Neodiprion lecontei: one gene and its partner. The protein of the gene in region 2 purifies or fractionates together with the protein of the main gene of each other region. This does not show direct contact. Links are inferred from orthologs where the notes say so. Each region holds a gene or a part of one and is shown on either strand. Other genes may lie near its edges. The genes, in order: protein disabled and neurogenic locus Notch protein.

Region 1 (5,256 bases), on a different chromosome or scaffold from region 2:
TTTTCAAAGATACCTCCCAGTAGCTCACGAAAGTACAATAATTTTACAGACAATACTCAACGTACGATTATCGTACGAGATAAAATTCATAAAATGAATCGATTTGTTTTTTTTTTTTACGAACCAATGTCAAACAAGCGTACAAATTAATTGCCTTGGCAAAATGGAGGGTTGGAAAAATACGACAGGTGGGTATAATAACATCGTTGGAAAACGGAAACCACGTCATCGAACGGATGTGTATAATGACACAGGGTGCACGAAACCCCATGATAGCTATGTATATATGTATACATACATATGTAATATATAAAACGTCGGCAATGCCTGGAACGTGCCTAAATTGAGATACTCTATCGCTCCAGAGATTGCGGCGAGCCACTTGACCGTGTAAAAGAGAAAGGGAATAAAGAGCAGACGAAGAAAAGGAAAAGGGAAAAGGAAAATGCTGACAATTGATTTCATCTGCTTTCATGGCGTTCGACTAATTCGCTTTCCTCAGCTCGAGAACAGCTTATATGAGGTATCGAGGCTTCGAGGAGTGTATAAAAATTTAACAAATCCGTTCAGGAACATAATCTCTTCATTTTTGAAGAAAGAGACAGAGAGAGGCGTTTATACGTCCTGGGACATACTTATGAGGTCAGATGGTTATTAAAACACAAAATTAAAATAAAAAGTAATAAAAAGGTGAGTGAATAAATAAACAAATGAATGAGGTGAGAATTATTAAAAATCAAAAAAAAAAACTAAAAAAGAGATAGAGAGAGATCGTGAGCAGTATTTAAATTCGGTAAATGCATGGGAAAATAATAATTCATATTTATAATTATTCAGCTTAAATACGTTGCTATGATTATTATGTTTAATGACAGCTCAAGGTCTCGAGAAACATAACAATTCTTAGCTTTTTTGATCAAGCTAATCAAACAAGAAAATGATTTTTCTCGTCAATAAAAGAAGATCGATACAGATTGGCAAAAAAGTATCGCATCCTCGTGTTTTTCGTTTTTACAGAATTAGCTGGTATTCGACAGTTTTTCGCCAAAGAGTTGAAGACAGTGAATGATTTCACAAATTAAAAATACAAAAATTGAGTATCGTTTCGAAAGACAATAAATTTCTAATTCATTTTTGTCATCTTTGTATATTAAACTATAGTCGGTAAACAAAACCGTAAAATGTAGAGCAGTTCCGAAATGGTTTGAGGAGTATAAAATAAAAGAAAAAAAAAAAAGAAAAGGAAATCTTATCGCCGCACTTTGAAAGTGACTGAAATTCGAATGACGGTAAAAGTACAAGTTGAGAACCGTTTGCCGCTTTAACCTGATCGCGAGCGAAAATATCACGCTGGCGCCGTCTGTCAACGAGATATGGAACTAAATCCACGTTGTAGAGTTGGAAATACAGTTGCCTGCCAAAGGCTTACTCCGCCGTAGGTTGAACGAGCGGGCCGCCGAAGGCATTAACTATTTTATAAGATAAAAATTGATCTCCTCGGAATAGAAACGGCTCGGTGTAATTAAACACCTTATACCCACCTGCGGGGTTTCAACTTACCAGACGAAAGGTGCGTTGAACCTACTCGCTTGCGATACGCAACGAGATACCGGAAATAGACGCTGCAACGAAGTATGTAACGAAATGAAAACTGCACGTATAATTTAGCGCAGCGGCGGGTGAACCGAAAAATTAATGCGAATTGTTGTTACACGGATGCGATATCGTTTGATGAGTAAATTTTGAAATTCGAGTGGGAATTTTTTCTGTTGCAAATCTACTCACACTTGCAGGGGCTGTTCTTCTTCCTTAGGGTCTGCATCAGGCCACCGGCGTAGCGACGTCCGTTCAAAAAGCCTGCAATTTTTGCGTCTCGGTGTTCCTGAGCTTGCGGTTCTCTCTTTTTTCACGTCCCTAGTCTCCTCCTGTTCACCGATTCATCGCTAAGCTCGATACCGCAGGTCCGAGAGCCCTGAATATCCTCGGAGTTTCGCCGCCTTAACCGTTGATCGCGAAAAGGGTGAGGATTCGCACGGTGTGTCACAGGCACAATCACAATAACCATACCGCGTCACAACCACCGAGCGAAATTTCAACCCCGTGGGTAAAAACAATCGAGGAATATCGCGCGCGGCTAAATCGCGGGACTTTCGCTCGCGGGGCCCAAAATTTCGGGCTGGCCTGAAGGCCCGATAATCAAGCCCGCGGCACGGCTGTATAAGCGTGTGGAAATTTAGGGGGATCTGACAGCTGCCTGCCGGCACTGGCCTTCCTTCCATGCCCGCAACCCCATTGATCAATAATACAGTCGAGCGGTAGTACCGAGCGGATCCGTCTCGGCATGCACGGTATAATGTTCGAACCGCGAAAGCGTCGCCTGTCCAATCCGCGTCTTCGACGATTGTTCGCGAATTTTTTTCCGCGAGTGAGAGAATTCGAGAGCGTGGATCAGCCGCGGCTAGAGACGAATTCCGCAAGATATTTCGGGGCGAGACGCCGCGCAAGCTGATTGCACCGGGAAATTACAAAATGGCCACTGCTTTGGCCCACGCGGTTTATTGAAATCAATTGGTGAAATAATTCGCTCCTATACACACCGCATCGCCGTAATACCGTTGCGGTGAATTCGACCGCTTAGCGATTACGCAACGCGGCTACGTTTGTCCGACGAGGTGCATTGAAAACGCCATCCGAAGGCGCGCCTTTTCTTCCACACAATTTCAAATTGCGTTCCAAATCACGCGATCCACGCCTTCTTTCAATTGTATACACACAGGTATGCTTGAGGTGGGTTGTTTCATAGACTCCCTGCACGCTGTCCGATTTATTTCCTCTCGCATTGTCGAGTCAACCACGGGAATATAATCTCCCGTTTTATCGCTCCGATTTTTCGCTAAATCTTCACGTATGCGCGTCTTTTTTATCCGTCGAGGAGATAACGGAGTAGATCCGTCGTACGCAGGTCACGTATAATACGTGTCGGTAAGTTACCGACCGCGTCTAAAACGGCTCGATCATCCGAATATCAACGGACCGCAAATTTTTGATTAAAAAATGGTACAACGATAACTTTAAATTTAATATATTATTGCCAGTTAGTAAAAACGAAAAAAAAATTAATAAAAAATAAAAGAAAAACACTGTTCAATCAAGTTTAAAGTAAAAAAAATAAGCAATGTTTGAAAAACCTTTTAAAACCACGACCAGGAATTCATCAGCTGAATTTAGCTGCCGGAATTTCCGCAACGGAATTCAAGGCGCTAGCGTAGCCGTGAAGATACGTATGCGAAACACAGTAAACGACGTTTCATATTGGATAGTGGGGAGCCTGCGTGGACTTTGGACCTTTGATGGCTTGTAATAAGACTCAACTTCTCTGATTAACGCGTTAGTCCAACGTAGGTCAGAAAACAGAAATCATGTCGATCGCCACCAAAGGTACGATACTTTCTTTTATTATATCAATTTCGGTCAAGTCCCCAAAAATTGTCTGAGTTGACGAATTAGGGCGTTTCGGAGGTTCTTCTCAGAGCCACTCGAGTGGCAGACTCGTCTCGACGGCTGGATTAACTCACAGAACTGTTCCTTTTCTCTGTTGGCTCAACGAGTGTAAACTCACCATCGAGACTCGTTTCGATCTTTCTATTTTTCATTTTTCCGTCACTCCCACTCATTGTCAGTCGAGGTTCTTCGATTAAACCTTTTATTCCTTGACCGATACGCGGAACGCGTTTGAGCCAATATTTTGACCGCCCGATTCGGAAGCATTTCCATTTTGATCAAGTGAGACTTGTTATTTGAAACTCATTAACTGTCATTCAAATTGTAACGTAATCTTGGCGTGACTTTATTTTAACTCGAATGATATATTATGTGTAATGTAACATGAGTTTGCGCAATGTTTCGAACTCTAGACTATGGAATTTTATATTGCGCCACAGCAAACGGAACGATTTTTTTTAACTTTATTATTTCATTCAGATTCTTACTTTACTCCAATTGACTTCAGACGCGAACTTCCAGAGATAATTTTGATCAACCTCACATTTTATCAAACGTTACGTGTGAAACGTATTATTCGAAATTGTGACCACGAGTCGTATTATTTGTTTAAGCTTCGTTCCGTTTGCAGATGTTCTTGTGATTCAATTTTAGCACCATTTTATCCACACCTTTTGCACGTAATAGAAATAATAATACACGTTGAAACGTATCGTGTATTGTTGTAACTACTTTTATTATCTAGAGTATTTAATTATACCCCGTGGACTTTGCTATGCTGAACGCGTTCCGATACTAGATATCAGAGATTATTTTCAATAACAACATAAATTGAAGATAAAAATTGCGTCAATGATTACACGTTCAAATTTTACAGTTCAAAATTGAGTAATCTGAAGATATTATTTCACATATTTGCGGAGCAGCGATCGTTCAATTTTCATTAATATTCAAACGTTTGTAACCGTTTGTTTTTAAAAGTAAAATACTACCGCATCCGTTCGATTTTTTTATACCTGCTAAAATTCACTTCGATTGTCGAGCTTGTGATTAAAAAAAAAAAAAAAAAAAATACCATCCAATCGACTACTCGGAATAACTATCCTCGTTCAATTTTCAAAATCGACAAAGCTCTCGAGATCATATATATTAATCAATAACCGTATTATCGTTGTTTAAGGAATATTCATCGTCGCCGCGAAGCGAACCCCTTTCGGGACACTGGGTGGTAAATTCGTGAACAAGTCTGCGATCGAGCTTCAGGAAGTGGCTGCAAAGGCAGCGATAACAGCAGGTGGATTGAAACCTGAACAGATCGACAGTGTCGTAATCGGAAACGTGTTGGTGGTACGTAAAATTTGACTCGCGAATGTTGCGTTGCGGTAAACGTTGTCTCTCCATAAAATCATCTCTCAAATCTCATTCCAACACGTTTCCAGAACACATCGTCTGACGGAGCATTTCTCCCAAGACATGTTCTCCTCAAAAGTGGAATTCCTCTGGACAGACCCGCCCTTGGAATAAATCGTCTATGCGGATCCGGATTTCAGTCCATTGTTAACGGAGCTCAAGTGAGTATATAAATTACGGTGTTTCAAAATAAAAAATAAATTTTTATAAATTAATTCCTAACAATTCACTCTTTCGAACGGTTGATGGTTATTTGAGGAATAAATTTATCATAAAATGATAAGAGACCTTTTTTGAAGAGCGTTCAATTCTCTGCAAAAATATTTTTGCGAGTTTTCTGTACGA
Region 2 (4,942 bases):
GCGACGCTCTCGACCTCCGGTTTCGCCAAATCTTACGCTCTGACCATTCGGATATCTATGCATTGAATTATCACAATGCTCTTATATCGATGTTTTTGAATAGTTCTCAACTCCATCTTATTATATAACACATACTTAAATGCAGTCTACATTACAGTTTCAAGAATTTCGTTATCATTATTATATCAGCCAGTTAACTTTATCGCATAAGATGGAGAAAAAAAATACTTCTTACACGTAACTTCAAAAACCCAAAGAATCTTTTCAACGATTGCATAATTTTATATTCAACTTGGAATTTAATTCCATCACACCAGTTTCACCCAAGAAAGAAAGAAAAAAAACTATTCTGTCACTACTTTTGTATAATCAATTCTAATAAAAAAAATAATGACAAAGATTTTGTAAAATTTTCCAATCATTGAACAAAGATCATGTATCGTATGTTATATTTTATACGACTGTGAATAAAATTTGAATCAATTCATCGAACCTGACTAATACTTATTTTCAACTTATTCATCAATAATGGTCAAAATCTATCGTACATGTATAGAGAACAATACACATAATCCTACATTATATATAAGACACACGGCAATGGGAGAGGCGAAGATAGGTTTCTAAGGAGAGAAGAGAAAGCCTGAGAACATAGTTCCGTAGTTGTTGAGACTCCGACAACCTCTGTGCGGCATCGGTATTACATACCTATATACAATACGAGTTCAACACATCCGTAAATTTGGTCTAGCCTAGAGTGAATGTGGATTATGAGTATATACACATATGTATACGCATATGTGTGTGTATATATATACACATATACACAGATGCAGCGGAGAGACGGACTCCAGGTAAGCTAATTGTAAGCCAGGGCGCAAGGAAGGCATGGATGGAAACCGAGGCGAGGAGCAAGGCCTAGTTATTTCGCCTCAGAATTCCAGCCGACACGCAGACGAACCACCGTGCGCCATGTTTACTCGCGCTTCATTTCTCTCGGATTCTTTATTCCGGCTGGGACGGGTCTATTGTATGCATTAACGCATTCGCCACTCGCCGGAATTCACCGGAAACGACGCTACAATTATAACGAATTTTTTCTTCTGTACCGCGTATTACTGTAAAAGTTAACGCCGTAGAATATGAAACGTTCACATGAAATACAGTTGCTCTGACTGTAATTAAAAGTTTAGGAGGGATAATAGCACGCAATAGTTCTTGTTTTAATTTTTTTATCTTGTTTTTTTTTTTGCAACTTCCAAGTTGTATATTTTTTACGACGGTGATTTTACAGTTGATTTTATAAAAGAGTTTTGAAAATGTTGAACGTCAAGTTATATTTAGTTCATATTTTGGAATAGCGTGAGTGATTTTTATCTATCACGATTCAAGTAGAAGGTTGATTGTGTTATATGGAAATATAACGATTGCTTAAAACGCGTAATCTGGAAAAAGGGTAATCCGACTTTTGTAAATAATTTGAAAGTTGTTCCAAAACTGATATATTTCCTGTTACAAAATTACGGATAAATAAAATTTGGGAAACGATTTGCTTTGAGTTTATTGTAAAATTCATCAGATTTTTAAACGGTCCTAATAATGCGGTGAGTGTAAAATTTCACCTGGATATCAACGCCCGAGTTCAATAAAGTCTATATACATATACATATACGTGTACGTAATAAACCCAACAAGAAAGATATTCGTTTCGTGGAAAGTGGGGTTGAACACCTGTCGTTTCAACAGGGAGTCCCAACCTGTGACGGAAAAAGCCGGTACGCACACGCGAGACGATTTTTCAATTGAGAACCGCTGTCGCGACCACGTGACTCGTGTATTCGGCATTTTATAAGCACTCACTCGCTCAGGCAAGCAGGACTAGCTGTGCGTGAGGCTGAAAGCCGGTCCGGTCGTAAAAACGAATTTGCGCAGAGCGAGGAACTCGAACTCTAATTCATTCAGGAATCGTAAAACGATTCGTTATGTATTCAATTATTCAATGCCTTAGTTGCGTGTTCGGTGAGAATCGGGCGAAATGTAATGTTACGGTAGAAATTTCGATCGATCAAGCTTGATAGAAAACTCAAGTTTTCACTTAATTTGAGTGGAATATTTAAACGTAAGTTTATGGTTTACCGTGACTTTTGACAAAGCTTAAATGCAAAGTTCAGATCGCTCTTCGGCGAGAGGTTTTGATCAAGCTTGATCGAAATTTGAAGCACGCGGCGGAAGGGAAAAAGAAAATGTCAGATTTGTTTTCATCGCGCAGAATGAATGGAAAAACCGGATGCTTGCGGTTACATTGATGAATCAAGAGATTTTCGAGGTGGCGGTTTATTCGGGTATATTTTCGGGACAGGTAGTAGTGGAATGGCAGCAACTCGACGCCTCGCGACGCGCCCTGAAATGCTAATGCAGGAATACTTGAGGCAGGCATTCGCTCGGCGAAGCCGGGCTGCCGACTTTGGGGTGTTTTCGAGTTTTTAAGTAGGACAGCGCGTTCGAAAATGTCGCGCCGGCGCGGAGAAACCCGCGTCGCTTTTCAGACCTGTTGCACAGCCTGCAGCTGCCGTCGCGACGGGGAGTTTTTTGTTTCCGCACACGCGCATTCTAAGGGGGAACTTGAAATTCCGGGTGACGACTACGGAGGATTCTTCCGTTTTATTCGATGAGAATAAACTCACCGTGAACCGAGGCCGGCAGACTGGCGACGAAAAGAGCCAGAGCGACGATCGTCAATGCGTAATCCATATTCCGCTGTAGACGGAGCATGTTGGCGGAGAATTTATCCACACAGAGATCACACACATCAGACAATTGATCACACAATCACTTAATCACTATAATAACATAATGCGATACCGTGCAGTGCAACCGGCTACAGTCCATTATCGTTTAACACCCGGGTAACTTCAATGTTCATCGTAACTTCAATCTGCTGCTGCTGCTGCTGCTGCTCCGGCGGCGTGTTTACATTACGCGAGCTGAACAACGTGAAGCAAAACAACGACACAGACCTCATATACGAACATGACCGCGGCTCAAACTCGTCTGGGATTCTATTGTTCACTTCACGCGCTGAAAGTAGTCCCGGAACGGCGCGCGCATCTCGAGCGAGAACGCTTGTCTCACTCCGCCGATCACAAAATGGCCGACACCATCTGCCAATCCCGCTGTCCAATCGAGGGGTTGATGCGTTCTACGGTTCCGTTCGAACTACGCTATGAAATTGTACGAGTGCCCGTTTTCGACGCCCTGCAGCCCTCCGCTTTTTTCTCATTCGGTCCCCTCGTATCGTTTAAATACCTCCGTCACGTGACACCGCCTCCATTTATGCCGCGGGGGACAAAAAATCCTGCCGCACGCTGCCTCCGAAGGGCCTGCTTGGCTATAAACTCTTGTACAAATATTAATATACGTTGGTTTATTATCGAACACTTCAATGAAATACAATCTTCATACGATCTTCTTTATATGAGATTATCAGATTCTTAGGTACATGTAATCCTATTCGCGATGCACCAAGAACAAGCGGGTTTCGGCTGACCATGAGCCAGCCTTTCAACTTGCCGTTTGCAAACTCGTTTCGAGCTGAAATAATAAGAATGATATTAATAATGAAAAATTTACAGATCTCATTGATTCGTGATCACCGACTCAAAAAACCTTCAAGTATAAATTTTCATCAAAATCCAATTGTTTTTAGTTTTTTTAACTCGAGATTCGTGATTTGCGACATAAAAATCTAAAGTAATGACACAAATGATCATGCAAATTTGTTCACCCATTTTCAAGGTATCATTTCTATTCTATTTGTAAGAATATTGTTATTTAAATAATTCGACATGTAATGAACCAATCAAAGCCGAAATATAATCCGATCTACGTTTCGAAAAATCGCATCAATTGCGACAAAAACATTAAAATCGTGATGCTCTAGATTTTAAAACGTGCAGATCTAGTGAGAACTCAACTTTTCATTTTCGGAGCTATTACAATAACTTCCTTTTTACTCTGAAAACATAGAAAAGAGAAGTTAAACGTGCATAGCTGCTGAAAGCAGCTAAATTTTTTATCTTATATGAACTCACTAAAAATTTTGTTACAGTAAATATCGACTTAATTAAATTTGAAGAATCTTTTTACTTCAGACAGTTGAAATGAAATCTTGTCAACTAAATATAAATTTATGAGAATGGAATACTTCATTATTTCAAGTAAAGATTTATGCGTTACAGATAAATTTTTTAATTTGTTTGTACGCAACTAAAATTTATTTGCTTCAGTTTCACTTTATTTTTCTGAGTGCAGTATTAACTCTGTCTTGCAATGATATTCTTTAATTTAAAGATTTGTTCGAGTTTGAAAATTCGTTTAAAATAGAAACTATGTAGAAGCTCTTGGCGACATCAACCTAACTACTAATTATGGACGAAGCGTTTATGTTTATTATACATTACATTATAATACTGTTTCAGCCAGTTCGATATAATGAGATATCGCGTGTGTATACACAATTAATGAAGGTAATTTAAGCTCGTTAATAATAGACATTTGAGCCTTGAGAAATGAATAAATAATGATACATTATGTCAAACCGAAGATAGATGTTCAAATTAATATAAATTTCGTTTGCTCTTTCTTTTTTTACATTCTTTTTTCCCATCTTACGTAATCCTCGTGCTTCACGCGCAACGCGAACTATATTAGTGCCAATTTAATAATTTTATTATGACAAGCTAATACTTATCAAGGGATACTGGAAACAAGTCGAAGTGTGTGTATAAATATATATAAAATTAGTTCCACAATTAAGCTTACGGTTTGCTTGCGAAAAATGGCGGAATTAGTTGTTTCGGTGTTGGTATGTTGAAATTGTTGAAATGGGAATTGTCCGTGAAGAATGTACCGATTTTCAGATTTCGCAATGAGTCTTCGTGTG

Evidence for each region.
Region 1: the proteins of neurogenic locus Notch protein (region 2) and protein disabled purify together in Drosophila melanogaster (affinity purification with western blotting; 4 studies listed by BioGRID). This does not show direct contact. The link is inferred for Neodiprion lecontei from reciprocal best matches to the Drosophila melanogaster genes N and Dab.

What each region holds. Positions count from the first base shown.
Region 1 is NC_060264.1:4,777,145-4,782,400, reverse strand, and holds the start of protein disabled, read right to left. Parts: upstream 3,150-5,256; 5' UTR 1,823-3,149; coding exon 1,786-1,822; intron 774-1,785; exon of another isoform or gene 771-773; intron 1-770. Other genes in the region: 3-ketoacyl-CoA thiolase, mitochondrial, read left to right, coding at 3,420-3,438, 4,682-4,848, 4,941-5,072. UniProt on the Drosophila melanogaster protein: Together with Abl, involved in embryonic neural development. May have a role in eye development. Acts as an adapter protein for SH2-domain containing proteins during sevenless (sev) signaling.
Region 2 is NC_060261.1:15,201,929-15,206,870, forward strand, and holds the start of neurogenic locus Notch protein, read right to left. Parts: upstream 3,030-4,942; 5' UTR 2,773-3,029; coding exon 2,685-2,772; intron 1-2,684. UniProt on the Drosophila melanogaster protein: Essential signaling protein which has a major role in many developmental processes. Functions as a receptor for membrane-bound ligands Delta and Serrate to regulate cell-fate determination.